3 linked regions of the Canis lupus familiaris genome follow. The protein of the gene in region 1 binds, or shares a complex with, the protein of each later gene. Links are inferred from orthologs where the notes say so. Each region holds a gene or a part of one and is shown in the gene's direction. Other genes may lie near its edges. The genes, in order: histone-binding protein RBBP7, BPTF and HDAC2.

Region 1 (10,068 bases):
TATTCTGTAAAAGATAGTCAGGGACTGGCCAGCTGCTTCAAAAATAACCTAGCTGTCTGTGTTTTCCAAACTTTAAGCTGTAACTAAGTGTGATTGCAAAAATGCAATGTACAGGGTAATCTGCATATTTTTTAAATGAAATAAAATACCAGACTGTGTCACACATATTAAAGGTCAGCAGAGTTCAGTGTAACTTGTTTCAGTTTTTTTTTAATTTTTTTTTATTTTTTAAAGATTTTACTTATTTATTCATGAGACACAGAAAGAGAGAGGCAGAGACACAGGCAGAGAGAGACGCAGGCTCCCCACAGGCAGCCTGATGCGGACTCCATCCCAGGACCCTGGGATCACACCCTGAGCCAAAGGCAGATGCTCACCACTAAGCCACCCAGGCGTCCCTCTTTCGGTTTATAATACAAGTATACTAGCCTGTAAAACACAGTCCCATCGACAAAGTGGTGGGTAATAATATAGTAACTTTGATGTAAACAGTCTTAGAGAAAGGTACCTAAACAGGACTCTTTATGCATGCACCTGCTGGTGTCTTACTCATTTAGCAGACCTACCCGAGTGCAAGAGAGACAAAAACACAGAGAAAGTGGGAGAAAAGATTGGGACCAGAGCTAAATCGTTGGGGTGAACAACAAAAGTAAAATCGAAAAGTTTAGCAATTTGAAGGAAAATGTATTACCTTCTGGAGGCAAAAAAGTACCTGATTAGAAAAAAAAAAAAAAAAAAAGACCAAAAAAATTAGAGAAAAGGATCGGCAGATTCTACCTAAAAGCTAATAAAATATGTTGTAATGATACTTTTGGATGAAGTATATGACAGTGCCTGCATATTTTCAGAAACTCCCAAAACATCTGCTTCACACTTCCACCTCTGACCCTCAGTGAGGTGGACAATATAAAGATTATAAAGCCATAATGTCTGGGAAGATTTCTTTCAACCCTTTACACATGTAATAGGTTTTGGAAATCATGCATACCCATCAAATATAAATAAAATGAATTAAAGGGAGCCTCAAACCTGTCTGCCAAGCCTTCTCTTGCCATGCACATGAGGATGTTCCCGCTGAAGCAAAGCCATTAAGGCAATTATTCTAGAACAAGGTGGTCAAACTAGAGTCCTCTGGGTATATAATCACCACCAGTTTTTGTATGACCCACGAGATAAAAATGTTTTTTCTATTTTAAAGTAGTTGAAAAACAAATCAGATTATTTTGTGGCACGTGAAATTTATATGAAAATTCAGTGAAAATTATTTATATGAAATTTCAGTGTCTATTATAAAGTTTTATTGTAGTACAGCCAGGCTCATCCATATTGTCTGAGGTTGCTTTCTCACTGTAAGGTGGCAAAGCTGAGTAGTTGTTCCCATCACCTAAAATATTTACTCTCTGGCCCCCATCAGAAAAACGTTTGCCACCCAGTGTTCTAGAATATGAGAGCTGTGCTATTTAAACACCCTTCCAACCCTCCTTCCTCTGCAGCCGAGACCCCCACTGCCCTGCCCCGCCACAGCTTTAGTCCCTAACAAGATTCCTGGGCCTAACATGAAGGCAGAGCGTTACAATAATGAACTGTAACCTACTGTAAAGCAGACACATCAGACAGTAAATTTCTATATAAGGTAATATTACTGGTTTTGCCACCAAGTAGAGTAAGGGCTGAGTTTGTTTTCTGATCGGAAAAGTGGGCATCACAGCGGCAACTGAACAATTTCGTTTGAGGATCACCATGGTCACTCTTGTGAAAGCACTTGGAAAATATCAAGGTACCAAATGTTCTCGGGTGCTTTTGCAGAGGGAGCCTCTCTCCTAATCTGGATGTACACTGAGGTTCTCTTTGTGCGTAGGCATCTCGGCCACGTCCTCCCACCCGGTACCCTCTGGCCCTCACAGCCCTCCTGGCCTTGCAGCTCACTTTCTCCTCACCCCCACGCACTCCTCAGGGGCTACCAAGTTTCAAGGCAAGCAGGGCTCAAGCAAGCCATCCCGGGTCCGCATAGGGCAGCTGTCCCCAGCTAAGCCATCGCGGAGTGGGGTCGCCCTGGGACCCCCACGGGTGACGAGAATGACTCAGCAGGGGCCAGCACGGAGACAAGAACGTAGGGACAAAATTCTCTGCAGTTCGAGAGGCCGCAAATCATTTTAAGGACCCAAATGTGCAAACAAACAGTGTAATTCAAGTCAGCTTCGGGCCGTCGGAGGCCTTGTGCCAGTAACAGGCCGCAAGTTTAGCCTAACAGGGAGGCCCCTCGGCTTTAGCAGTCAAAAAACGCCCGCGGCCTCTGTAAAAGGTTTCCTCAGCCTGCAACGAACCCCACCTCAGCTCGACCGGACCCCGGGAAAAGCCAGTCGACTAGAGGGAAGCCTTTCAGGGTACACAGAATTGCATGCCCGTGATTATCCGGGAGACGTTGAGGGCACAGTAATCTCTCGAGACTAGAAACCATTTTCCTCTCGCTCTGAGATTTTGCTTGGCTAAGCCGCGTCAACCTCCCTGCCCCCCTCCCACCCCACCGCCACGGCCGCTGCAAGCAGCCACGCCCCGCGGCCCCGGGGCTCACAGCCCCCGCGCAGCCCGCACGCCGCGCCCCCATCCGCCCCACCCCCGCGCGCCCCCATCCGCCCCCGCGCCCGGCCCTGGGAGCGCTGGGCGAGCCCTCGCGCCTGCGCCTCGCCAACTTCCTGCCGCGGAACGCCCCGCCCACCCCCAGAAGCCCGCCCACAAATGCCGCGTGAAACCTGCGTGCCGCACCTCATTGGTTGAAACAACCGAGCCGTTGGCTCCCAGGCCCGCCTCTCCACCGCCTCTCACTTTTCCCAGGGCGGATGCGCCTGCGCTCAGCTGCCTGGGCGGGCTGGGAGGCGCGGGTTGAAAAGTCTCGTTCCAAGTTTGGAGAGAGAGAGAAGAGCGCCTCAGACCTCGGTACCCGCGAGCGGGGAGGAGGCAGGAGAGAAGGACGCAGCGTTTGGGGAGCACCCAGGCCGTAAGACGGAGCTCACGCTTCGAGAGCTAGAAGTGTGTGACGCGCCTGGGCGAGGCAGGAACGCCTGCGGTTGGGCTGCTGTTGGCTAGCGAGGGGAGTCCGAGGCGGCGGCGAGGGGCGAACGACCCGACGCAAGATGGCGAGTAAAGAGAGTAAGAGGCCCTGCGGGGCGGCGCGCGCCGGGACCGCGGGGGGCGGCGGGCGCGCGAGGCCGCGGCACGCGCCGGCGAAAGGCGCGAATTGGCGTGAGGAGCAGGGGGCGGGGCCGGGCGCGAGGCTAGGCGCGCGCCTCGAGGGGCCTACAGCGGGACGGGACCGCGGCGCGGAGGGCTCCGAGCACTTCCGGAGCCGGGCGCGGGGCCGCGGGTTGGGCCCCCTTCCCCCTCTGCCCCCCCCCGCTCCCCTCCCCCCCCTCTGGCGGCGGCGCTCCCTCCGGCGCCCTTGGCTCTCGGGCGGAGGCGGCCTCCGCCACCGGAAAGCGGACACGGCTGCTCCTTCCACGCGCGCGCGTCGACCGCTTCGGGGTCGCGGCCCTTGTCCGGGGGATTCTGGCACACGCCGGCCTATGGCTGCTGACGCGGGCTTCGTGGGAGCGGAGGCCGCTCCTGGTGGGGGATGGAGGGAGCGGGCCGAGGGGTTTCTGCTACACGTGGATTCGTCTCCCGGGGTGGGTCGTGGAGCCCCTGCACAGATGGGTCGTCATCTTAGAACAGGTGCGAACAGCTGTAACTGCTGAAACAAAATCGTCGTCTGTGTAATTGCCCAATTCTGTATACGCAAGCAGTATCGATTTCTAAGTGCAAAAAATAAGCTTCCTGGTGTTAATATTCTCCTCACGTTCTGGAAGAGCAGTTAGTTCGTGTCCAAATTAAACGTAAAGCTGAGGAGTAGATTAGGTGTGGCCATCTCGAGGTGACCTCCACTATCTGTGTACAGATTCTAACTCGATTTCTCTCAGCCACTTAATTGTGTGGGATTTCTCCAAATTTCAGTGTTTGAAGATACTGTGGAGGAGCGTGTCATCAATGAAGAATATAAAATCTGGAAGAAGAATACACCGTTTCTGTATGACCTGGTTATGACCCATGCTCTTCAGTGGCCGAGTCTTACCGTTCAGTGGCTTCCTGAAGTGACTAAGTAAGGGTTTCTGGCAACTTTTACTTTGCATAAATTTGACTATTATCCCGAAATTCCTAGTTTTGGCATTTTACACATAGAACATGAGCGTGTAATCAATTTAGCCCTTGCATGAGGTGGCAGGTGATTTTTATTTTCAAAACAAGTGATTTATGGGATGGTTTTTGATATGTAAGCGTGGGGACAAAGTGCGATTAATGATATTTGTGGGGAGCATCTAACGAATTTAACAGTTCTTGGGATTAAATATAGAGCAGCATTTTGGGGACCCAGACTAATGGATTTCTTTAAAACTTTATTGAAAAAGAGCACACGTACAGAAAAATGCACAAATCATAAGCATATGGCTGGATGGATTTTTACGAAGGGAGCACATCCATGTAACCAGCCACCACTATATGAATAGGTTTTTTTTTTTTTTTTTTTTTTTTTTTTTTAATTTATTTATGATAGTCACACAGAGAGAGAGAGAGAGGCAGAGACACAGGCAGAGGGAGAAGCAGGCTCCATGCACCAGGAGCCCGATATGGGATTCGATCCCGGGTCTCCAGGATCGCGCCCCGGGCCAAAGGCAGGCGCCAAACCACTGCGCCACCCAGGGATCCCTATATGAATAGGTTTTAATTGACAAAGGGAAAAAAGAATTTAGCAGTAGTTCACTGAAGAAAAGACGTTACTAGCTGATAGTGTGGAATACACTTGGAGGTTGCTGTTGGTTCTTTTCAGCCGTTTCTAAAATTTCTCTGGTAATAATTGCTGGTATTATTGAACACTTAAAATAGGGCCTGGCACATCTCAACAGTTTTGTGTCCAGTTGTTTAATATTCAGAATTATACTATGAAAAAGTATACTATGATTATTCTTTATCATCTTTGTCTTACTGTTGTGGAAACTGGGGTGGGGGTGTTAAAATACCCAGGATCATCCAGCAAGTGGTGGAGTGGGATTTTGAACCCAAACCGGGTACCCCAGAGTTGAGGCAACTCCTGTATTATTAGACTTTCTTAAGCGCTTGCACTTTTTCTAGTAGGAACTTGGCTGTGTACTTTAAAAGTATTTAATTTGGGTATTGTGAACATATATTTTTAATGAGGATTAACAAAACTAACGTAGGAAGGGGATTTTGAGACAATTTCTGAAAATAAGAGCAAGTTAATTTTCTATGAGGTTACTCCTTTAATGGCCGAATTCTCCATATGCAGACATTGTCTTCCATATAGGTAGAGGCTTTTATTAGGATTCCCCAAAATCAGTGTAAATACACAGATGTGATAAGAATAGCCAAGAAATAAAAAACAGACTTCAAAACACTGACATAACAATTTTGAACATCAAATACTTAAGGGTATTCAGGTTCTCCTTTGAGCACCATGTACTTTTGATTCTTTGTGCACTCCTGTTAAGTAAATTAAAACCTTTAACAGCTTAATTTACATTATTTTGGATCTTTTTGATCTACCTTACCAGCAGAACACAGCGGAGGTGTTTAGGACTCTAAGGTTAGAAACCTGAGTTTGAATCCTGCCGCCTGCTTCTTAATAGCTAAATTAGGGCACATTGGTCAGTCTCTATTCCCAAGCTGTCTGATCTGTAAGTGGAGGTGCTGGTGCTTCTGACTGCCTACTTTTGAGGAAATGAAATAAGATCATGCACTTTTAAAGTGCTGGCACAGAAGAAGTCCGCAATAAGTGGTGACTGATGCTGATTTTCTCCCCCTTTGTATTCAGAAATAATTAGACTGTAGTAACTGTGTTTCTCCATTTGGATTCCAGTGAAAACTGCTTATTCAAGTCTTCTGAAAATGTTATCTGTGTTTTGTGTAACAATTTTAAGGATGTTAAATGTGTATGTTCTTAGCCCGGATACTGCTTTTGAAAAGATTTTTATTTTTAAGTAATCTCTACACCCAACGTGGAGCTCAGATTTACAGCCCTGAGATCAAGAGTCACATGTTCCACCTACTGAGCCCGCCAGCCCCCCGCCAATACTGCTTTTATGTTAACACTTAAGAACTTAACAAAAAATACTTTAAATGATGTATTCCGTGGTGTTCTTTGCATACAAAGAAGTGGGATCTGGTTGTGGGATGTGCAGTTGCTCTGGGAATGCAAGAAAATGCCAGCCAGCCTGCATTCTTGGATGTTGAGGATGGCTGTGTGGTACTTTTGCAGGATTCTACTTGGAGTATGAAGGGACTGTGATTGTGTTTTGTTACTATACGGAACACCGGAGATGTTGGCTACTCTTATTCCCAGGGTCTTTGAGGAATGTGATGCTAGTCAACCTCATGAGGCTTTTACCTACATACTACATAGAGCATACCTCCCAATAATTACTTGCACTTTCTGAACTGTTGTCCTTAAACTAAATTAGGTAATTGTCCACATGGTGGATTTGCCTTGTAAAAATTTTTATTTAGGGGGGAATCCCTGGGTGGCTTGGCGGTTTAATGCCTGCCTCTGGCCCAGGGTGCGATCCTGGAGTCCCGGGATCGAGTCCCGCGTCGGGCTCCTGGCATGGAGCCTGTTTCTCCCTCTGCTTGTGTCTCTGCCTCTCTCTCTCTCTCTCTCTCTTTCTCTATCATGAATAAATAAAATCTTAAAAATTTTTTATTTAGGTATTTCTAATCTGTAATTCCATTATTCCATATTTTTTATTAAATAATTTCTTAAACATCTTGAGACTAACTTATTCTGTACTTAGAAACCTTTGTAATCCTTCAAATTCAGATGGTACAAAGTACATAGAGAAAATAATAAGTCTCCCTTCCATGTTCCCTGTTCTCCTGGTTTATTACCCAGAGTTGAGTCATTTTTGGCTGGCTTTTTTAACTGATCCTGCCAGAAATAAGTGTATATACACATTACACACACCTACCCTCCATCTCTCTCTCTCTCTCTTCCCCCCTCCCCCCCTTTGGGTGAACTGGTTGTGCATGAGCAGGGGGAGGGGCAGAGGGCAAGGGAGAGAGAGAAACTTAAGCAGATTCCCTGCTGAGTGCAGAGCTTGACACAGGGCTTGATCTCAGGACCATGAGATCATGACCTGAGCGGAAACCAAGAATTAAACACTTAACTGACTGAGCCACCTAGGCACCCCTCCCCTAAATCTTTTTTTAATGATAGCAAGTTACTCACTTGACTTTACAGTTTGTAGTTTATGTTGGAGACTTCCTATCAGCATGCTTAGATATGCTCTTTTGCTTTAAGGGCTCCATAGAATTCCCTTTATGAATATACTATTATGTATATCACCAGTTCTTTTTAAAATTTTTTAGAGATTTTTTAAAAAGATTTTATTTATTCATGAGAGAGGCAGAGACCTAGGCAGAGGGACAAGCATACTCCATGCAGGGAACCCGATGTGGGACTCGATCCCGGGACTCCAGGATCACACCCTGAGCCAAAGGTGGACACTCAACCGCTGAGCCACCCAGGTGTCCCACCAGTTCTTTATTAATAGATATTTAAAGGTTGTCATCAGTCTTTTTCCACTAAGACAATGCTACTGAGAATAATCTTGTGATAATCTGTGATTGTTAGGTGACTTTCTTAGCCGTGGAGTCTTAAGTGATTGATCAAAGGATGCTGGCACTGAAAAATGGACAAGGTCTTTTAACATTAGTGCTCCTGCAGCTTTAGGTGCATTCAGCATTGGAGGAAAATACTGTAATATTGTTGGTTCAGGAAAATAAGTTTGTATTTTAATGATGGACTTGAAAGGATTGCCAGTAAAAAAGAAAAAAAAATCCTTACATGATTATTGTGACGGGGGATACCTGAATTGAATTTTAGAGTCAAGGAATTTTTCAGATCCTCCATCCATGTTGGGACCGGGCTTCTTAGAAAGGTCCTATTTTTTTCTGTTTAACCCCCTAATAAAATACTTCTTCCTTTTATGTTAGCCTTAACCTTGCTTTGTGGTGCTTCCTTTCTCTCAAGCATTCCTTTTTCTTTTTTTTTTTTTTTTAAGATTCTATTTATTTATGAGACAGAGAGGCAGAGACACAGGCAGAGGGAGAAGCAGGCTCCATGCAGGGAGCCTGACGTGGGACTCGACCCCTAGTCTCCAGGATCAGGCCCTGGACTGAAGGTGGCGCTAAACCCCTGAGCCACCCGGGCTGCCCCCTTTTCAAGTGGTTTTTTTTTTTTTTTTTTAAATTTTCAAATGGTTCTAATGAGATGTGTTTAAGTTCCCTTTCATTTTGAGCTACAAAGATTTCATTTTGTCTAAGTCCTCCTCAGTTACATTGCTTAGAGCCTAATTTTCTGTTATTTTTCCATTTAAAAATAAGTTGGGATCCCTGGGTTTAGTGTCTGCTATTGGCTCGGTGTGATCCTGGAGTCCCGGGATCAAGTCCCGTGTCAGGCTCCCTGCAGGGAGCCTGCTTCTCCCTCTGCCTGTGTCTCTGCGCCTCTCTCTCTCTCTCTCTCTCTCTCTCTCTCTCTCTCATTAATAAATAAATAAAAATAAGTGGGTGAGTACTCACATGCATTGCCTCCCTCTCTCTCATCTAAGATGGAATTAACTGTTTAGGTAGCCATATCCTGTTCTTGACCACTGAACATACATTGACTAAGACTCCTGTATTTTTTTTTTAAATAAGCTATTGCTTAGACACGGGTGCCTTATTCTGTTCTTGGAGTTGTATACATATTTATTCTTTTTTACATTAAGCCTAATTTTGGCAAAATTTCATCTTGTATTTTTTTTTCAGTTACTACTAAATTATATTCGTAGAAGCAACCCTCAAGCCTTTTTTAAAAACCACTGAATCCTTTGTACAACCAAACTTTAGAAACTGGGCAGTCCCGGTGGCCCAGCGGTTTAGCGCTGCCTTCAGCCCAGGATGTGATCCTGGAGTCAGGGGATCGAGTCCCACGTCAGGCTTCCTGCATGGAGCCTGCTTCTCCCTCTGCCTGTGTTTCTGCCAATCTCTCTCTCTGTCTGTCATAAATAAAATGTTAAAAAAAAAAAAGAAAAGAGAAATTTGTAAAACAAACTTTAGAAACAGATAAATAGCCTAACTTGTCTGATGTTGGGGCTCAGAGCCCTACATCTTGGCCCTCACTGAGGTGGGACCATACAGCACAGGTGGAAATTGCTATTCTAAATAATACAAATGGGAAAATGTCGTTAAAAGATAAGAGGCAAGGGATACCTGGGTGGCTCATCGGTTGAGCGTCTGCCTTCAGCTCAGGGAGTGATCCCAGGTCCGGGATTGAGTTCCGCATCCGGCTCCTGCAGGGAGCCTGCTTCTCCCTCTGCCTTTCTCTCTGTGTCTCTCATGAATAAATAAATTTTACAGATCTTTTTAAAAAAAATAGATGAGGCAAAACCAGGGTGTCAAGAAGCATCAGTGGGTTCTTTAGCCTCAAAATTAGGTCCATAGAAAAAGGTAACAACAAAGACCCCTCTCCCCCGATAAAAATGAGAATCTCCATTTCATAAACTTTAAGCACTATGAACATCAATAGAAAGTTTTCACAGGCTATTTGCACACATAACCTGTTTTTTAGGTGAAGAAACTAGGCCCCACAGGAAATTGTGTTTTAAGGAATTGCATATTTTGGGACACCCTGGGTGGCTCAAAGGTTTAGCTCCTCCCTTTGGCCCAGGGTGTGATCCTAGAGTCCCTGGGATTGGGCTCCATGCCTGGAGCCTGTTTCTCTCTCTGCCTGTATCTCTGCCTCTCTGTCTCTCATGAATAAGTAAATAAAATCTTAAAAAAAAAAAAAAGGGAATTGCATATTGTTAATTTTAGTTTGAGCCAGGATTTGAACCCAGTTTTTCTGGCTCAGTGCTTAAACTTGTTGCCTCTTACTGGGAAATTAGAAATGTCTAGTGTAAAAAAAAAAAAAGAAATGTCTAGTGTATTACAATGGAAGATATTTTTTAGGTGAGAAGTCGTGATTTTGAGTATGGAGATTGGTGA
Region 2 (9,968 bases), on another chromosome or scaffold:
ATTATCAATAAGCAAAATATTTAGGTTTTTGCAGATTTATCTCATATCCACTTTCCTTAGCATACTGTTTCTATTGTCCAAATTCTGGGCCTTTATCCAGTCAGGTACCAAGTTGGTCTTACAACATCTTTTGAGCCCTTTTCCTCTCCAGTGGTAGCAATGCATGTGTTAGTATAGAATAAGAATTACAGTGAAGGCATTAGTATTCGTAACCACCAGTTTATAATCTCAGAACTATTGGTCCCTATAATAATGATTAACCTAATCTGATCATATGACAGAGGCACAGATGTGCTGGAGAAAACAGAAATGCGTTTCAGGGAACCTTGACTTAGCATCAGAAGACTAGAGTGTTCAGCTTGTTTGACTGCGTCACTTATTTCTAACCTCCATTCTAACTCAGACTGAATGCCTTAGCTTATTAGTTTACAAGTGTCAATAAAGGTACTGATGTGCAAGATTAACAAAGGATATTAATTGTCTTTATGTCTAGAAGATCTTTAATGGAGAAGACATCCCAAGTATTTTATAATTGTCTATTTTAAGCATCTGGGTTCTTAAAACTTTTAGGTGGAACTACTATTATATAAAGCTCTTTTTGAGAAACTTGAAATCATTGAAAAAATATTGCCCAGTTGTTCTGAAATAACTAAAGAAGCATTGAATAAGGAGAGTATCAGTTTACTTTTTGTCCTTTTGTTACTTGTGGGGTCCAGACACATCCTATCACTGTTTTCTATGATTCGTTTCTTCTCTCCCCAGTATCCTACTGTCTTGACAGATACCAAGTTTTTTGCACTCTTTTCCCTTCCCTCAGCTAGATCTTTCTGGAAGGAGTCATTTGTTTAAATAAGAAGTAGGTACACATTGCTAAGTCCTTGGAATATTTGGGATCAAGTGAAGAGAATAATAAAAGGTAGAAAATGCCTGTAAGGCCCAAGAAAATTCACCTGGACAATAGTTCTGTATCATGGGCTTGATTTTTTTTTTTTTTTACCTTACGGAAAATTTGAAACTACACGAAAGTAAAAAAGCATCATCTTTCTGTCATTCTCCTATTAGTTGTAATAATCTACTTTTTTTCTGGAGTTTTTTTCCCCCCCTATGTATTTAGAGCAAATTCCAGAAATTATGTTATCTACCAGTTCAGCATATATCTCTGATTGGAGTGGTTATTCCATAAATTATGCCATTACCATTCAACGCACTAACAATATTTAACATGTCCATCTTGAGATTCTCAGTTACTATTCTAGTTACCCCAGTTGTGCCAGAGATGCCCTTTTAATGTTGGTAGTAAATCAGGTCCAGACAAGGCCAAACATTGCATTTGGTTATTTCTCTGAAGTCTCTTTTAATCTATGATAAATACAGTGATTCCCTACCCAGAAAAAAAAAAGTATACAAACAAACCTTTGTAATTAATTTCACTGGCTCTTAGATAGCCTTGAAGTCTATCCATGGACTCTGGGTGAAAAATACTTAAGTATTTATTTTCCTAATATGGTTCTTTAATATAAAGTATGTTAGAAACACTGATGTAGACTTTGTGGAGTCATTGAGCAGCTGAAATAGTGTCATATATGAAAGATCCTGAAGTACATCTAAAATGTGCTCATTCCTCTTATGCTTTAGGTCAGTTGAGCATGTTAGGAAAGTATATACTATCTTCAGGTTTTATATTTTTTTAATAGAAAACAGTATAGATTGCTAGAAATATAATTTCCACTGAACTAGATTTGTTAAAGCAGATTGCTAATGTTCAGAATACCTATAATTATATATATATACACACACTCAATTCTTTTTAGCCAAAAATAATGTGGATGAAAATATGGATGAATCAGATAGACGAAAAAGTCCACGGAGTCCAAAAAAAATAAAAACAGAGCCTGATTCTGAGAAAGGCGAGGTAAAAGATTCAGATGCTGCAAAAGGGGCAGACCAAAGTGAAATGGACGTTTCCAAGATTACTGAGAAGAAGGACCAAGGTAAGGAGAGTCCGGTGTGGAGGGCAGCCTGGGGGTGATAAGATTGTAATGGATCTGGTTCGCACAGCAGGAGAGGTACTGCCTTATGTTTCTTTAATAGCAGCTTTATTGAATCACAGCTCATTTACTATATAACTAACCCATTTAGAATGTACAGTGGTTTTTAGTATTTCACAGAGCTGTTCAGCTGTCACCACAGTCCATTTTAGAACATTTTCACCACCCCAAAAATAAACTTCATACTCCTTAGTACCCAGTTTCTAATCCTCCCTAAATCCCCCCAGCCTACTAGTCTACTTACTGTCTCTATGGATTGGCCCTATTTTGGATATTCTGTATGAATGGAATCACGTAATACATGGTCTTTTGTGACTTGGTGTAATGTTTTCAGGATTCACCCATGTTATAGCATATGTCAGCATTTTATCATTCCTTTTTAGTTCTGAATAATAGTCCATTGTATGGACGTGCCACATTTTGTTTATCCATTCATCAATTGATGGACTTTTGGGTTGTTTCTACTTTTTGGCTATTATGAATACTGATAAGGACATCCTTGTACAAGTTCTTATGTAGACATATGTTTTCATCCCTCTTGGGTAAAGACCTAGTAGTGGAATCCCAGGTCATGAGCTAATAACTCTGTGTCCAGCCTTCTGAGGAACTTATACTGTCTTTTGTGAAAAGTCATTCTTTAAAAACTAGGTAAGCTAGATAATGTATAAGCCTTAAGATATTTTATGACTATGAAATATCTTACATAAAATTTTCCATGAAGGTACTGGAGTATGGGGTAACTGTCACATGCTAAGTAATTTTTCTTTTAACATTCCAACTTCAGATACTAAGAATCAGAGTATTTAAATATTTACAAAATGTCTGTTTTTTAACCTTTTATAAAGTTTAGCCCTGTCCATTGACCTATCTTAATCATGTATCAGGAGCTTTCAAATATGTATATTTACACTGAAGCCCCGTGAGTGAAATGAAAATAAACATTGGTGGTTTTTAAAATAAAAATATTGTGAATTCCACATTTGAGACTAAAAGTTAGCACTTACATAAATGTGTTTGTTTCACAGATGTACAAGAAATTTTAGATTCTGACAATGAGAAACCCTTTAAGGAAGAACCAATGGAGATAGATGATGATGTGAAAACAGAGCCGCATATAAACTGTCAGGAAGGTTCTCAAGTAGATGTGGTCAATGTCAGTGAGGGCTTCCATCTAAGGACTAGTTATAAAAAGAAAATTAAATCATCCAAACTAGATGGACTTCTTGAAAGGAGAGTTAAACAGTTTACACTGGAAGAAAAACAGCGCCTTGAGAAAATGAAGTTGGAGGGTGGAATTAAGGGTATAGGGAAGACGTGTACAAGTTCTTTGAAAAGCCTTTCTGAATCATCAGTAATAACAAAAGCAAAAGAAGGGTGTCAAAGTGACTCGCTTAGACAAGAACAAAGCCCTAACACAAGTAATGGTAAAACTGAAGATGTGATTCGAGGATGTTCACAAAGCGATTCCTCAATTCTTAGAATCAATGATCCTGATCATACAACAAACAGACTTTATCCAAAAGAGCAAATGTTAGATGACATCTCCATTCAGAGCCCAGAGACAAACTGTCAGAAACAGAATTCTGTTGGAAATGACATAAATGAGAGTCTCTCTCAACCTACCAGTCAAGGCCAGGAACTTAATAAGGTTAAAACAAGAGGAAGTGACTTTCTCATTGATGACTCCAAACTAGCCAGTGCAGATGGAATTGGTACTTTGATCTATAAGAACAAAAAAACACTCATACAGGAGGATAATGACACCATTGTTTCTCCTTCCCAGAGCCCTTCACTTCCATCAGTACCTAAAAGTACTGATGATAGAGATCCCCCATCTCTGTCAAAAGCAGTAGACTTTGAAGGAAAACTAGGATGTATCTCTGAATATAACAGCACTTTGGAAAATAGTTCTGATACTATGTCTATTCAGGACAGCAGTGAAGAAGATATGATTGTTCAGAATAGCAATGAAAGTCTTTCTGAGCAATTTGTAACTCAAGAACAAGGTATTGAAGGCTTGGAACCATTGAAACGTGAGTTTGTTCCAGATAAGTCCACTAGCAACTATAAGAGACCACAGGGTAAGGTAACTGAAGCAAATGGTAGGAAGCCAAGTCAAGAACAGAAATTAGAGGAGAGATCAGTTAATAAATGTATTGATCAAATCAATCTAAAAAGTAGCACTGACAGAAAGAATAATGAAAATAGAGAGTCTGAAAAGAAAGGACAGAAAGCAAGTACTTATCAAATAAATGGAAAAGATAATAAACCCAAAACATATTTAAAAGGGGAATCCTTGAAAGAAATCTCTGCGAGTAAAGTAGCAAGTGGTGATCTTGAATCAAAGCTTAATAATATAAATAAAATAATTCCTGAAAATGATATTAAGTCATTGACTGTTAAAGAATCTGCTGTAAAGCCATTCATGAATGGCGATGTCATCATGGAAGATTTTAATGAAAAAAACAACTTGGAAACAAAATCACGTTTACTGAGATCTTCAGATGCTGCATGCGACTACCAAGATGGCCTAGACACCCTGCCATCAACCAAAGAGTCTGAGACCATGCCTCCACTGTCTTGTCCAGAAAACAGTTCAACAAATCAGGTAGAAGATATGGAAATTGAAACCTCAGAAGTTAAGAAAGTTACTCCCTCACCTATTACTTCTGGAGAGGAATCTAACCTCAGTAATGATTTCGTTGATGAAAATGGTCTGCCCACCAACAGAGATGAAAATATCAACGGAGAGTCTAAGAGAAAAACAGTTATCACAGAAGTCACCACCATGACATCCACGGTGGCCACAGAATCAAAAACTGTAATCAAAGTAGCAAAAGGGGATAAGCAGACTGTGGTCTCTTCCACAGAAAATTGTGCCAAGTCCACTGTCACAACCACCACTACAACAGTCACAAAGCTATCCACACCCTCCACAGGCAGCAGTGTGGACATCATCTCTGTGAAGGAGCAGAGCAAAACTGTGGTCACCACAACAGTGACAGATTCGCTGACCACTGCAGGGGGCACTCTAGTGACATCTATGACCGTGAGCAAAGAGTATTCCACAAGAGATAAAGTGAAACTCATGAAATTTTCAAGACCCAAGAAGACTCGTTCAGGTACAGCTCTGCCATCGTATAGAAAGTTTGTCACCAAGAGCAGCAAGAAGAGCATATTTGTTTTACCTAATGATGACTTAAAAAAGTTGGCCAGGAAAGGAGGAATCCGAGAAGTCCCTTATTTTAATTACAATGCAAAACCTGCCTTGGACATATGGCCTTATCCTTCTCCTAGACCAACCTTTGGTATCACTTGGAGGTATGTACTTTAAAATGTATTTGGGGAAGGGAGAAAGTCTTAAAAGCATTTTTGAGTAAGCATATCTCATTTTTTACAGAAAAAAAATGAGATAATAAGAGGGAAGCAGAAATTTAATAAGCCAGGTTAGTAATGGAAATAAGATAACAGAGAATCTTGAATTTGGCTGGCTGGGAGGTACTCAAGTTTACTTAGGGTAAAACTTTAGGGGAAAATGTTAAGAGACTTGAAAAGATCTAAATCTTTAAAATGAAATTGAGTTTTACTTTCCTCAAGACAGAAGAAACATGTCAAATATAGTTGGTTTTGTGGTTTAACTTTCTGAGTTATTGCCATGTGTTTGCCTTGGGAATGAGAATAAGAGACTTGGATAGTCCACTTTCTGGAATGTTTGTATTTTATTTCTATTAGGTAATTCATAGAAACATAAGACATAGGAAACATGCCTGTGAATCACACCGAGTTCATCATAATGTGGAAATCTTCCTAAAATAATTTATTTGCATGATAAACATTTGTTTTGGAGTTCTCTGTTATTTATGTGAGGAGAGGTCTCTGAGATTCCTTAGGGATTTTTTAAAACCCAGAAATAGTCTTAATTTAAAATTTTCTGGGCATTAAGCTTTGGGGATGAGTCATAAGTACATAGTGTTGGCAGTTGTAAGATCATGTAGTTTCATTTTGGGAAAGGATCTTAGAAATTCTTATCTTTTATAGATGTGTAATAAGTTACCTCTGGCCACAGACGGACAGAGTTAGGAATAGTGCCCAGTTTTCCTAAATCCCCAGTCCAGTACTGTATTCTGCTATATCACATTTCACATATCTGTCCTTGCTTTGTCCTTTTTCATGTCCTGTCTTTTTATCTTTTCACCCTCACAACTCGAAAGGATGGAGGAACATAAACACTGAAAACATAAGAGTTCTGTGGGGCATGCTTGTGAGTCAGGAACAGTCTTGATGGCTGCTAGATTTTGATAGGAAGCTGCAGTTACTTCAAGTGACTGAACAGATTCCATTTCACTTTAAGCTTCGTTTCTGTGTGTCTTTACTATGGTTCCAGTTTTTTTTTTTTTTTTTTAAGTTAAAACCATGCCTTTTTTTTATTTCTTTTATATTATAATTAGCCAGTATTATAAAACAAAACCAAAACAAAGTGTAAATGAGTACTCTCTCTAAAGGAGTTAACTTATTAATATGACCAGTCACAATTGGTTTGACCAAGGTTTTTATAACTCATCTTTTGATTTGAATTAAAATATCACTCCATTACACATTCAATAGAGACAGCTGAAAAGTACAATTTCTCTGCAGGGCCTGCAATGAAGGATTTGCAGAATCCTGCAGGGAATCAAGGAACTCTTCATTACAGTTCATGGATTTATAGGATTACTCTGCACTTTTCTGCTTTCTTCATTGAGAGCGGTCCCAAAGTGTATCCTTGACTGTCCTGCAGGTAACTTCTTTCCCACTGGAAAAGTTACTATGTACAAATACTTTAACTAAAATGACCTGGCAGTGGTGGAGGCCAACCTTTCTGCGCTTTCCTTTTCTGAAGTGGAAGGTAGGCTCAACTGGGAAGCACTTTTCTCTGAACCAGTTCCGATCAAGTGTTGCCCAGGGCCCTTTTCTGCACGGCTGGGTTTCAGGAGCCTTGAATTGTTATGTTTTAATATGCACTGTGGGCACAGTTGGTATCTGTTTAGTTAATTTCTCATTTTTTAATGGAAGGAGATACCTTCCTGTACATTTTAAACAGATATTGCTGTCAAATACGTGCTAACGTCTTAATCTGCTGAAGTTGAGGGAAACATAATCCCTTGTATCTAACAGGGGCATGGGTAAATAATGTAAAGTATTCTTGATTTAGAATGCATTTTTTAAAAGTGTATTGCTATAAAAACCATGCATGTGAAATGCATTTTTATATTCACACTTGAAAATAAAAAAATCTGTCTGATGCTTAGAGTAGAAGCTAAGAATGCCAGGAGGTGCATGTTTGATATTTATTAATTTAATGTTAAGGCTGAGCAGTAGTGAAAAGTGAAACTTGTCTTGTCAATCCATTAGGCCTCTCTTTTCCTCCACACTGTCCATTCCCTTACTTCCTTTTTCCTGGGCCCTGATTCTGTGTTTCATTATCACTTTGAACCAGTAGTTGTCTCACAGTGCTGGCCACATAATCCTCCTAAAAGCCAAATCTATCCTGTGAATGTTCTGACGGAGCAGAGCAAGCCTTCAAAGTGTGAACTACAACTGCAGGCCTGGGAGGAGGAGAGCGTCTGTCACCTGTGCACCATGTCTCTGAGAAGTATTTCCCTTTACAACTCATCCTATTCTGGATAAGTCTCAGAGGCCTTAATGCAGATTGCCTTTAACGCTCTTCTTTTATCCTTCCATTTGGTGCTGCACACTCTGCCTCTGCCCTCCTCTCTCATGGCAGCTTCGTCTCTTGCTGCGCTTCCACATCCCTGCCCTGCAGTCAGAGCATACCAGATGTGGTTTCTGGGAAGAGGTGTGTACTGTTGTACACTTTCCTTCTGAACATGTGTGTGCCCCTGGCTATTCCCACAATCTTTGTCCTCTGAGACTCTAGCAAAGCTCTGATCCCCATCCCAGAGCCAAGTCATGTGCTCCTCATGCTTCTCTGACAGCTCCTGAGGATATAAGAGCAGATTATAATTCATTTCCCTGCCTCCAGCTCCTTTCAGTTAGTCTGACACATATAGAAGGCACTCAAGTATTTTTTGAATGAATACATGAACAAATAGGCTTTTGGTGTATTCCCCACTTGGTGGTGTTTCCATTGCAAAACAAAGATGCATTGAAGTTGCTGTTCAGCTGTAGTGAGTGATCTGAGGAAGGGAGAGAATGAGAAACATTTCTCTTCCAAAATACATATCCATTTGGCATTCAGAGTTCCCTAGGCATTTCTATGGGGTGTGGTCTGAACATGACACATACTTTCCCCCTTCCTGGGACATCCCTGCACTAGATAACATTGACCCTCCCATTTAAGAACTGTACTCCAGGTCAGAGGATTCACAGGGCGACAGCACGACAAAGGAAATCTTGGTGTCACAGGTGGAGATGGGGATTTGAAAAGCAGCTGCAATTTTCTGGCTGGAGCATTCCCTTTCTCACATTGTTCATTTTCCCAGCTTAATGTTCAGAATAGAAAGCATTGCCTCTCAAATACAAATTGTCTTAAGGTTTACCTTCTACCTCTGTTAGGGGAGGAAATTATTTTAGTTTTATAGATTTTCTGTATATGTAAACAAGTGTGTTTATTTAAGTACGTGGAAATGTCAACAGTGTTTAATTATACAAAGATGACACTAATAGAGAATTGATACCCTAGGGTTTCTTTACATTGTTTTATAGTTCTGTCTTGGGACATAATATTCATTAAGTTGTAAATTTGAGATGTATCTTTAATATTATTTTTAAAAGAATATCTAAAATGTTCAATAATTTTACACCTAATGCTTAGGAAAAAACTGAACAAAGAGATTCCTTTGTCTCCTGATCAGTAACTGATAGAGTATTGTCCTTTTTGTTACTCATTGTATTGTAAAATTCTAAAACTATATTAATGTGGTTAAAAGTGTTCATTAATAATAGCAGGTATTCATCATCCAATAGTTCATGTTTTACAGAGCCACCATTTGGATGCAAAATTTCTGTCCATTTGGAAAGGTCTTGTTGGATTTGCAGGGGGGTCTTTTTTTGTTTTGCATTTTGAGAAAATTTAAACAATTTGTTTGTTTCAGCTAAGTCAGTCAGTTAAGATTTTATCCTTTTTCTCAAAATTCTTTTATCATCTTTAGTAACACAATTATATCTCTATTATCTTTCATAATTTCTCTAACATATATTTTGGAATTAGGCTAAATATATAAAATTAACATTAATTCTTGCCACGTCAGTATTAAAATGAAACATGCTCATTTTATAAATTTATGTGGCATTTGAAGTGACTACAAACCCTTTTTTAAGTTGTTAAATGCATGTTATGCCTAGGGGAAAAAGTTAAGTTATTAAGGGATGTATAATAGTCAAAGTGCTTACAGAATCGTATTATGATTATTAAAATAATAATGGAAGCAAGAAATAGGTCTTCAGTCTAATAATAGAATGCGTGTGTGTGTGTGTGTGTGTGTACACACATATGTACACAATACATATGTAGTTTTTCTTGGGTTTTTCATTCAGGTATAGACTTCAGACTGTAAAGTCCTTAGCTGGAGTGAGCCTTATGTTACGGTTACTGTGGGCAAGCCTGAGATGGGATGACATGGCAGCCAAGGCTCCTCCAGGAGGAGGGACTACACGGACAGGTAAGGGTTTTTTATTTGCTAGTTTAAGTTGAAAAGAATAGTTCACTTAATTTTAAGCATTTCTGTTATTTATTAAAATACAATGCTTGTGTTTTAAAAATATAGCTTTGCTAATACAGCTTTGCTAAAGTTAGGCAGCACATGTTATAAAATCCTGGGGGTTGAGGGGGGCTCAAATTATAAGGTGAGTCACTTATATGTGAACAAGTCTGAATTTTTTTTTTTTTTCGAGTCTGAATTTTTAAAAGATCTTCATTGG
Region 3 (9,968 bases), on another chromosome or scaffold:
TGAAGGTAAGGAAATAGCGTTCTTTAGCTCTAGCTTTTATATAAACTTGTGTTGAAATGACTGACTTTGAGCCATTAAAATCAACTTGACTGTCCTAATAAAATTTCGGACTTACTTATTTAAAGACTAGAATTAATACTAAAAGTGACTTCTAATTTAATACAAGCTGTTGCAAAAGGTGCTTGTTACATTTTAAAAATAGTATGTTTTTAGGGGTTTCCTTAACCCCAAGGTAACCTTTGTTTATTATAAAAACACTGGATCTGTACCCAAAAGTATTGATTTCATTGAAATTCAATAGATGAAAATTTGTGGTTTTGGTGTTATGTCTGTTCATTTTGAATTAAATCTTAATGCATGAGTATTAATACATTGGTACATAAGATGTGACAGATAGGCTGGCACTTAACGACTTTTAATCATGAAGAAGGAGACAAAAATATTCTTACTATCTTAAAAAAAATGTCACAAGTATGTCTTATTAGAGCAAAACTTTATTTAGGACCTAAATTTTATTTAGCAAAAATTTATAGACTGTAATATGGATATGTAGAACATTTTAACTCCCGTAATGCCAACTGTAAAATATTTCTGGGATGCCAGTAAATATCAAGAAGCAATATTTGCGGGCAGCCCAGGTGGCTCAGCGGTTTAGCGCCTGCCTTCAACCCAGGGTGTGATCCTGGAGACCCCGGATCGCGACCCACGTCAGGCTTCCTGCGTGGAGCCTGCTTCTCCCTCTGCCTGTGTCTCTGCCTCTCTCTCTCTCTCTCTCATGAATAAATAAATAAAATCTTTTAAAAAAAAAGCAATATTTGCTGTAAAATGTTTAAATAACAATGAAACTCAGAATTTGCTTTAGGCGTCTGAATTTGTCCATAAATACAAAAAATTAATTTTCAAATTTAAGTAACTAAAACTACTGTTATAAGTATTTTATTAGGGCTAATCCTAAATAAATTTTGGCAAACTGAAAATCTGAAAAGCTTGCTTGCTTTTAATCTCTAATAAACGTGTATTAATGAAGTTACCACAGTTAACGTAACCCAGTATCTTGGCTTTCTAGTACAGTTTGAAAATTGAAAGATCTGAGATCATTTCAAGTTTTAAATCTTGATTAGGTGGTAAGTGCCTTGTGATGATGAACACACATAAATTTAGACTGTAAAGATTCTCTATTCAGTTGTCTTTTTTCTATTTTAGGTGATATTGGAAATTACTATTATGGACAGGGTCATCCCATGAAACCTCATAGAATCCGCATGACCCATAACTTGCTGCTAAATTATGGCTTATATAGAAAAATGGAAATATACGTAAGTATACCTTTTGGTAAATATTCAGTGTTGTTTTTTTTTTTTTTAATCTACTTTGAAATTATTAATCCCCTTAAATGGCGTTTAGCAGATGAAAACAAACTCTGGAAGAAAACAAACTCTTTTTGTTTTAATCTTCAGAGAAAACAGTGTGGGAATGGTTTTTAACCCTCTTACTCGACCATTTTTCAAAAGTTTCTCATATCCCACCTTTTCACATTTTGGCCAACAACTCAGTTTAGCAAACTAAATATCTTTGTTGCAATAGTGGTTTACTTGGCTGTGCTGCTGAAGAGTTGACTATTACAGAAGAATTATGTAGGAAATTCTACAAATACTTACTGACATATGGAGCAGTGTATTAGTGGATGTGTACAGTACAGCTAACATTTAGGATACACCTACCTTAAGTGCTTTTGCACTAATGTGGAAGTATATGTAAACAAATGCAAGACACAGTTCTTGCCTGTTTGGGGAGAAAAGAAAGACTTGAAACAGTTACTAGTATTGAGTATATATGAGTTACTTTTTTCAGATAACAAATATTTACAGGAAAGGAGGGGTTGGATTATATACTTTCTGGAAGCCTCCTGGGAAAAGTGTGTTAAAAATGAAATTGAGCTCTTGGGAATAAGGATAATTAGGATAGGCAAAGGAAAGGAAGAGATTGTGAACAAAGACTTAAAATTGAGCTTGAGTCTCAGTCTCACTTGATACAGAGCAGACGGTTTATGATGGAAAGTGAGAGTTCCTGAACAGATTCAACTTTATAAGCATTGACCCATTTCCACTGCAATAAAAGGAATGTATAATTGGGGTCAGACCTGTCTAATGGCTTTAAAGGAGTAGGAATTAGCTTTGGAATTGATTACTCATTTCTAAGAAATACACGTATAAATTTGGATTCACTTTGGAATTTATTTTCTGGCAGAGCTAGTTCTTCTGAGAGGATTGTTAGGGGAAATTGTGTACGTGGTGTTTGATGACTCTGATGTAACCAGTTGTGGCTCCACCATTCTGACATTTGTTTTTCTTCACAGAGGCCCCACAAAGCCACTGCTGAAGAAATGACAAAATACCACAGTGATGAGTACATCAAATTTCTACGTTCAATAAGACCAGATAACATGTCTGAGTATAGTAAGCAGATGCAGAGATGTACGTTTCTATGTTAAAAGTCTATGTTAATCTTACTAAGGATCAGTGAGTATTTTCTAGAAGCATATCATTAGAATATCCACATGTAGGTGTTCCGCCTGAGGAAGATACTTCCTTAGTTAATTACTGGTTTGAAAAGTCAATGTAAAAATTAAAAATACTAAAACTGCTTTAAAAAAAACAACAAAAAAAACCAGGCGCCTGGGTAGCTCAGTTGACTCACTGATGCTGAGCTCGAGGCTTGCGTCGGCCTCCGCACCCAGCACAGTCAGGTCCCTCTCTCCCCCTGCTTGTGGGTGCGCCCTCACGCGGACCTGAGCACTTTCTCTCCCAGAAAGAAGGAAAGAAAATCGTAAAACCCAAAACAAAATCTACCCGAAGCCTGAGCTCTTGGGAATAAGGATAATTAAGATATCCATCTGCCAGACGGCCCAAGAGCTGTCTGGATGTTCCTCTAGTCTTTGTTTTGGTCCCATGTTACCTTGGGGATGATGGGTATTGGTGGGGAGACCTTACTTCCCTGCCTTTTTAAAAAAAAAAAAGTCTACTTGGATTGGCCTTAGCTTGGTGTATGTACGGATCTCTTACCTCTCTTTGTGTGTTTTAGTTAATCTGGATTGTTAATACATAATCTGTTCCATTTGTTAGTGAAGCTTCTTCTACGTGATTTTGATTTTGATTTTCTTCTACGTGATACTCTCTTTTATAGATACGTGTTTTGTTATTAGCGGTTGCCTGGCTTGAAAGTGGAATGAGAAATGTCTTAAAATGATTGAAACAGTTTTTTTTTTTAAAGCATGATACTGAAGTTCATTCTCATCAGCAGTTCTGTTCTCTCATGAATAAATAAATAAAATCTTTTAAAAAAAAGCAATATTTGCTGTAAAATGTTTAAATAACAATGATTTTAAAATCACTTCAGTGATTTTTTTTGAGAAGAACAATTTCAGATACTAAATTAGGTGTAGTGGCTTGATAAGTTATACATTCATAGAACTTTGTACCCATTTCTACCTTAGATTATTTCATTTACTCAATAAAATGCTATAATGCATGTAGAACATATTTTTTATACCTTTTTTTTGGATACAGGTTCAGGCTTAGATTAAAAGTCCTGTGTAGATAGGGCAAATGAATTAACAGGATTGATTTAATACATAATACTGAATTATATTAAGATTATGATTATATTTAAATAGTAAGAAACTAAAAGCTGTTCATTATCATGCTAATAAACTAAAGGTATACAAAGCTATGTAAAATAATTACCCTTATTTTTGAAGAGGTTATAATTGGGGTGGGAAGAGGCTGCGAATGGGTCATGTACATAAATAATATGTCCCTTTAATCCTGTCAGTACTGAGGAACTAAATATATTGCAATGTGTCATGTACCCGTGTTGTTTCCTTGTGCTTTACCCCTTCCTTCTATGTCTTGGCTGCTCCGAACCTAGTTAATTCTTACCATCCTTTAAGATTGGGTAGGCAGCCAGCTGCTTTGTCTTTTTAGTACTCACTAAAATATATTTCAAAGTTATGGATGTTCTGTGCATTTAAGGAGTTTTAGAAAAAGTAAATCATAAAGGAATTAAAGTTTTTTAAGTTTTTTAGAACCTTGATTAATTTGTTGTATGTTTTAGGAGAAATGCCTAATATTTAAGTGCGTGTTTTAATTTAAATAATTCAAATACCTTTTATATTTTGGTGGCTATTGATCTTCTGATAATAGAGCTGAGATTTTCTACAAATTATCCTGGTAGGATTTGGTGGTGATGTTTTACATATAACCCTTGAAATTACCTTGGATAAAATGATTAATTATATTTTTAAATAGCAAACTTTAGATTTATACTGTGATGTGTGATCCGTGATTACATCATATAAAAATATTTGTAAGGAATAGTTTTTGTAAGAAAAAACTTCATTAATTCGTAGAATGGATTGTAACTGAAATCCGTCTTTCACAGTTAATGTTGGAGAAGACTGTCCAGTGTTTGATGGACTCTTTGAGTTTTGCCAGCTCTCAACGGGTGGCTCAGTTGGTAAGTGTCCTGATTCAGATCTAAAGATTGATTTAAACTTGGTATTAATCTTCCTGGTTTACCTGTTTAAAGCAAAGCGTTTTAGTGATGATGGATTTTGATACTAAAAAGTGATCTGTATGTTTTTAGTACAGTTGTCTTTAGAAATCCCCATCTTTGGGGCACCTGGCTGGCTCAGTGGTAGAGCTTATGCCTCAATTTGGGAGTCGTGAATTCAAGTCTCATGTTGGGCACAGAGCTCACTTTTTAAAAACGAAATAAAGTAATGATTTCTTTCTTTAAAAATAAACCCCATGTTTTATGATCGTAATGACTTGAACTTTTTTTAGGTTCCTTACTTTTGTATTTTCACTTAGAGATTTCTCTCCTCTACCTCTCTTCTGGCTACCACTTTCCATATATACTCTTATTTAATCAGATCACCGCTATAGGATAATACTTACCTAAGGAGAAACTGTTGTTAGTGTCCTAGACAATGATCCTTTTTGTAATTTTAAACTCTTACTTATACGTGGCATACTCTTTGCTATAGGGCTTTTGTCTTGTTATATTAATTTTTTTATTTTAAACACTTTTGAAGTCTACCCTGTATTTTTTTTAGCTGGTGCTGTGAAGTTAAACCGACAACAAACTGATATGGCTGTTAACTGGGCTGGAGGATTACATCATGCTAAGAAATCAGAAGCATCAGGATTCTGTTATGTTAATGATATTGTACTTGCCATCCTTGAATTACTAAAGTAAGTTAATTTATGTTGATATTTTCCTTATGGAAAAGTTTTAATTAAAATGATATAAATCTATGACTTAAAAAATATCAAGGAAATGGTGGGTGAAAAATAGTTCAGTGCTGAGTTTTCTATGGATTCGTTACAAACCAATGTAGAAATACAGAACATTTTCCCATTCCTTGAATTAATAAGCATGAGAAATGCACATACATGTCTATAAAACTCATATTAAATATACCCTTTTAAAAAAACCTAAGAGTCGTTCAGTGTTTTAGATTTGAGTTACAGTTTCACCTAATGAAAGATGACATGACTCTGGAAGTTTATGCTCTAACATTTTCTAAGTTTTAACTTTTGAAGGCAGAAATTTGAAACTTGTGTTAAAGGAAATTTGTTTATTGATGAATCTAGCTAATTGCCTAGCTTCCACATGGAATGGGGCTTTGTTCTTTACTAATGGGTATAATTATCTCTAAATTACTAAAGGAGTTAGATTTACAGTGATCCCCGACTGCAGTTTGAAGGAGAGATCTATAGAGGAACATTAGAATTTGGAAATTTACAAAGGTGTTTCTCTTTTTTTTTAACCATTATCAGTTGTAACATGTCTTAATAGATTCCACTTCAGATTGTAGTGAAGGAGTTTTTTGTCAGTATCAAAAAATATTCTTGCCTGTAGTTATTCCATGCATATTGTTTATTGAGGCTAATTTCTTTTTTTTTTTTTTGAGGCTAATTTCTTAGTGTAAAATTTGGTATTACCGCCTCAGATAAACAGCTAAAATGTTTCAGTTAACTCCTTGAGAGCCAAGGAAAACCACTTGAAATTATTTGCTTGTTTTTTTTTTTTTTAAGGTTTTATTTATTTATTCATGATAGACAGATTCACAGGCAGAGGGAGAAGCAGGCTCCATGCAGAGAGCCCGATGCGGGTCTTGATCCCCGGTCTCCAGGATCACGCCCTGTACCCAAGGCAGGCGCTAAACTGCTGAGCCACCCAGGGATCCCCTATTTGCTTGGTTTTTAATTCAACCAACTGTTGGTGTGGTTCCTGTGTCTCCGTCTCTGAGCAGTGGTTCTTGACTGCGTAGACCCTTAAACAAGCTTAACCTAATTTGTCTAGACATATTTCTTTTTTTTTTTTAAGATTTTATTTATTTATTCATGATAATCTCAGAGAGAGAGAGAGAGAGAGGGGCAGCGACACAGGCAGAGGGAAAAGCAGGCTCCATGCAGGGAGCCCGATGTGGGATTCGATCCCGGGTCTCCAGGATCGCGCCCTGAGCCAAAGGCAGGCGCCAAACCGCTGCGCCACCCAGGGATCCCTCTAGACATATTTCTTTAACTGACGTGATCTATCATGATTTAATTGGCTGTTGATAAGCCACTTATGAACCACTCAGAAATTTACTTGGCTAACACCTCTTATTTTTGTGAAGAAAATCTATAATGAGACATTCTGCTTTAAAAAGATTTTATTTATTCATGAGAGGGGCAGAGACATAGGGAGAGGGAGAAGCAGGCTCCCTGCGGGGACCCCAGTGTGGGACTCGATCCCGGGACCCCGGGGTGACACCGTGAGCCCAAGGCAGACACCCAACCACTGAGCCACTCAGGTGGCCCGTGCTTTTTTCTTTTTCTTTACTGAATGGTGCTTTCCTGTGAGTTGAGGATATTATCAGGGTCCTTAGTCTGATATCAGTTTGTTTATTTTCTTTTAGCATAGTGGTGGTATCCTTCTATAATAAACATGCAATGCTCTGCCATTTTATTCAATAACAAAATAATACTCCATTATTATGCCATAGAAGGATGAAATTCAGAATTCATTTCCTTTTGTTTTGATATGGGTATGTATTGGTAATGGGATGTCACGGTATGGTGATCTACATGGCCTTAAAATGTATTTGAGTTGTAACTGCACCGCTGCAGTGTTTAGTGCTCCAGGCAGCACCGTGAAGGGACGAGAGTACCAGATGGTTTCTGTCACAACTACTACTTGCAGTTGCAAGCACAAAAGAAGCCATAGATCATTTATAATCAAATAAGCATGGCTGTGTTTTAGTAACACGTTATTTATGGACATTGGAATTTGAATTTCCCTAAATTGTCACATACGAAATATTCTTCTAATTTTATTTTTCAGTGATTTAAAAATGTAAAAACTGTTTTAATCTCAAGGTTTACAAAAAGACTCCATTGGTCAGATTTGGGCTATGAACTGTAGATTGCCAACCACTGTTTTATAATACTGAAAATTTATTAGACGTTTTAAAGTAATCATCCATCCTGTAAGTGCAGTATAATCTTCAGTTGTTAATATTATAGGAACTGGTAGTATGTTTCTAGAACATATAGAACTGGACAGATTTCACAGAGAGTAAGTACATTTTTCTTACCTAGATTGGGGCTAAAGAGAGGATTTGAAGATCGGAGGCTCAGTCTTGTAACTTTAGATGTTTGAATGGTCTCTTAGGCTGGAAATTAAGAGAAAGGATTCAACATTCTGAAATGGAAGAGCTCGAAAATATTTCTGAACCCATTTCAGAAGAACCTGGTTCTCATTTAAAACCTTTTAAAAAAAACTTAACCGATGCTTTATTTTCAGGTATCATCAGAGAGTGTTATATATTGATATTGATATCCATCATGGTGATGGTGTTGAAGAAGCTTTTTACACAACAGATCGTGTAATGACTGTATCATTCCATAAATATGGGGAGTACTTTCCTGGAACAGGAGACTTGAGGGTAAGACTGAATTTCTATCTGAATAAATATGATATAAATATTAGAACTGAAGAAGATAATAATCCTATATCTAAACTAATACTGTTCTAGAGTCATTTAAAATTTATATGCAGAATTGAGTCATTTTATATGCTATATAACATTTGCTAGAATTCACTTTTGTTGACTATAGGCAAAAATTTAGTGAGAACTGAGAGGACTTTTGCTCAGCCATTTTCTTTGGTCGAATAATTATTTTTGAACATCCTTGAAGCACAGAAGCAGTTTTCTTGATGTTTATTTGGATCTTCAAAACCTACTTCACAGTAGCCAGCATTGCTGTTGATTGTAAAGATTGGTGGATGAAAATAGAACTAAGTCTATTTTATTTTAGGTTCTTGTATTTACCCCCCCCCCCTTTTATGATTAGTCTTGCTTTAATAGGTCTTACTTTAATCTTTCCCCCCCCCCCATTTAGTGCTCTTTTATTTTATGAGTATAAAACCACTGGTCACATCTTGTTTGTACAAAGTTCCTCCGGTAGTTTTGCTTCACTGGCTTTTCTTGACCCAACCTACCTGCATGTTGAAAATTTATTCAAAGATTTAAATGACTTTTTAAATTCATCCTGGATTGTATAGGAAATTTCTCTTATCGTGGCATTCAATATTAGTTCAGAGTTTTCTAATTAAGGTTATTTTTCAGATCTGTGGTATGTATTACAGCTTATTTTAGCAACTAATATTTTGAAGAGTAGCCTTATTTTTCAAATATGTGCTTTCTTTATTTGACCACAAGATGGTGCTCTTTCAGTAACAGTCATGATGGTGAAATCTTAAAATGAGTAGAAGGTCAGTCATTTAATTTTAATTTGTTGGAGTTTAAATTATGTGGCTTCTAAAATTGCAAATTTGTATATTCAGTTCCATGCCTGCTAGCTCCGTCAGTGCGTTTCTCCGCTTGGCCCTAACTTACATACCAGTGATTCTTAGAGTATGAGCCTTAGGCAAGCGGAATCGGCATCTCCTGGGGACATCCTGTCAGGCCTCGGGAACTGATTCTGCGCACTAAACTTTGAGAACCACTCACTACCCTAACCAGTAGAATTCCTTTGTCTGTAGCCGTTGCACCCGGTAGAAATTCAGCAAAAACCTTCGCAGTTTTAAGCTTAAACTAAGTCTTTTAAGTATAATCAAAAATGGCAAAACATGGCCTCTGTTTTAATTTCTGACAGTGTTCTTATTGTTTAAAGTTGTTGGAACATATTGGAGAGTGGGTATCTTTTAAAGATTATAGAATGACTTTCAATATTTCTTTTATTCACTAAAGATTTTGTACTTACTATGGGAAATGTCAGCATATTTTCTCTTTAGTTATTATAAAGGTGTCCCTAAAATTTTATAAGGAAATCAAAACTATTATGCATGGAGTTCTATTTGGAATTTCATAAAACTTGTGTGTATCTCTGGATGTTAATAAACATTCCCTTTTCTACCTTCCGGTTCATTCTAAATTAGAAAAGAAAGCTACTCTGAGCTTAGATCATTGTTAACATTGCTTGTATCGATTAGATTGGGAGTCTTTAAGTAGAAGAAAAAGATATGGTAAAGCAGCAGTTGAGGAATAAGAAATGGAAGGGAGAAAGCTTGGTGCAACAAGGGAGCAGCTGAGGCGCCAGGTTTTGGTTAGAGTGAGAAGTGCTGACCAACTTTCTGTATTCTGAAATCTTACTGTCAAAGTATGTCCCAGGAGTTTAGTTTTTTAAAGTGCAGAATTTTACGGATTCACGGTGCTTTAGTTTATCAACATCTAAATGGTTTGTATTTAGTTAAACATTTTAGGTTTCTTCAAGAAAAATTGTTGCGGGAGATATGTAATTCCACTTCCTTTTTCTTCATTGGAATTTGGATCATAACTCTAATGTTGAAGGATAAACTATGCTTTTTTTTTTTTTTTAAGATTTTATTTATTTATTCATGAGAGACACAGAGAG

Evidence for each region.
Region 2: histone-binding protein RBBP7 (region 1) and BPTF share a complex: the UniProt entries of both Homo sapiens proteins name them as parts of the BPFT-SMARCA1 complex. The link is inferred for Canis lupus familiaris from reciprocal best matches to the Homo sapiens genes RBBP7 and BPTF.
Region 3: histone-binding protein RBBP7 (region 1) and HDAC2 share a complex: the UniProt entries of both Homo sapiens proteins name them as parts of the core histone deacetylase (HDAC) complex. The link is inferred for Canis lupus familiaris from reciprocal best matches to the Homo sapiens genes RBBP7 and HDAC2.

The regions. Positions count from the first base shown.
Region 1 is NC_049260.1:13,084,688-13,094,755, reverse strand, and holds the start of histone-binding protein RBBP7, read left to right. Parts: upstream 1-3,545; 5' UTR 3,546-3,560; coding exon 3,561-3,708; intron 3,709-3,987; coding exon 3,988-4,132; intron 4,133-4,138; exon of another isoform or gene 4,139-4,538; intron 4,539-4,749; exon of another isoform or gene 4,750-6,169; intron 6,170-10,068. UniProt on the Homo sapiens protein: Core histone-binding subunit that may target chromatin remodeling factors, histone acetyltransferases and histone deacetylases to their histone substrates in a manner that is regulated by nucleosomal DNA.
Region 2 is NC_049230.1:14,277,585-14,287,552, forward strand, and holds part of BPTF (nucleosome-remodeling factor subunit BPTF), read left to right. Parts: intron 1-1,811; coding exon 1,812-1,991; intron 1,992-3,073; coding exon 3,074-5,369; intron 5,370-9,584; coding exon 9,585-9,709; intron 9,710-9,968. UniProt on the Homo sapiens protein: Regulatory subunit of the ATP-dependent NURF-1 and NURF-5 ISWI chromatin remodeling complexes, which form ordered nucleosome arrays on chromatin and facilitate access to DNA during DNA-templated processes such as DNA replication, transcription, and repair.
Region 3 is NC_049233.1:70,464,815-70,474,782, reverse strand, and holds part of HDAC2 (histone deacetylase 2), read left to right. Parts: intron 1-1,203; coding exon 1,204-1,316; intron 1,317-2,356; coding exon 2,357-2,474; intron 2,475-4,440; coding exon 4,441-4,515; intron 4,516-5,116; coding exon 5,117-5,255; intron 5,256-7,854; coding exon 7,855-7,996; intron 7,997-9,968. UniProt on the Homo sapiens protein: Histone deacetylase that catalyzes the deacetylation of lysine residues on the N-terminal part of the core histones (H2A, H2B, H3 and H4).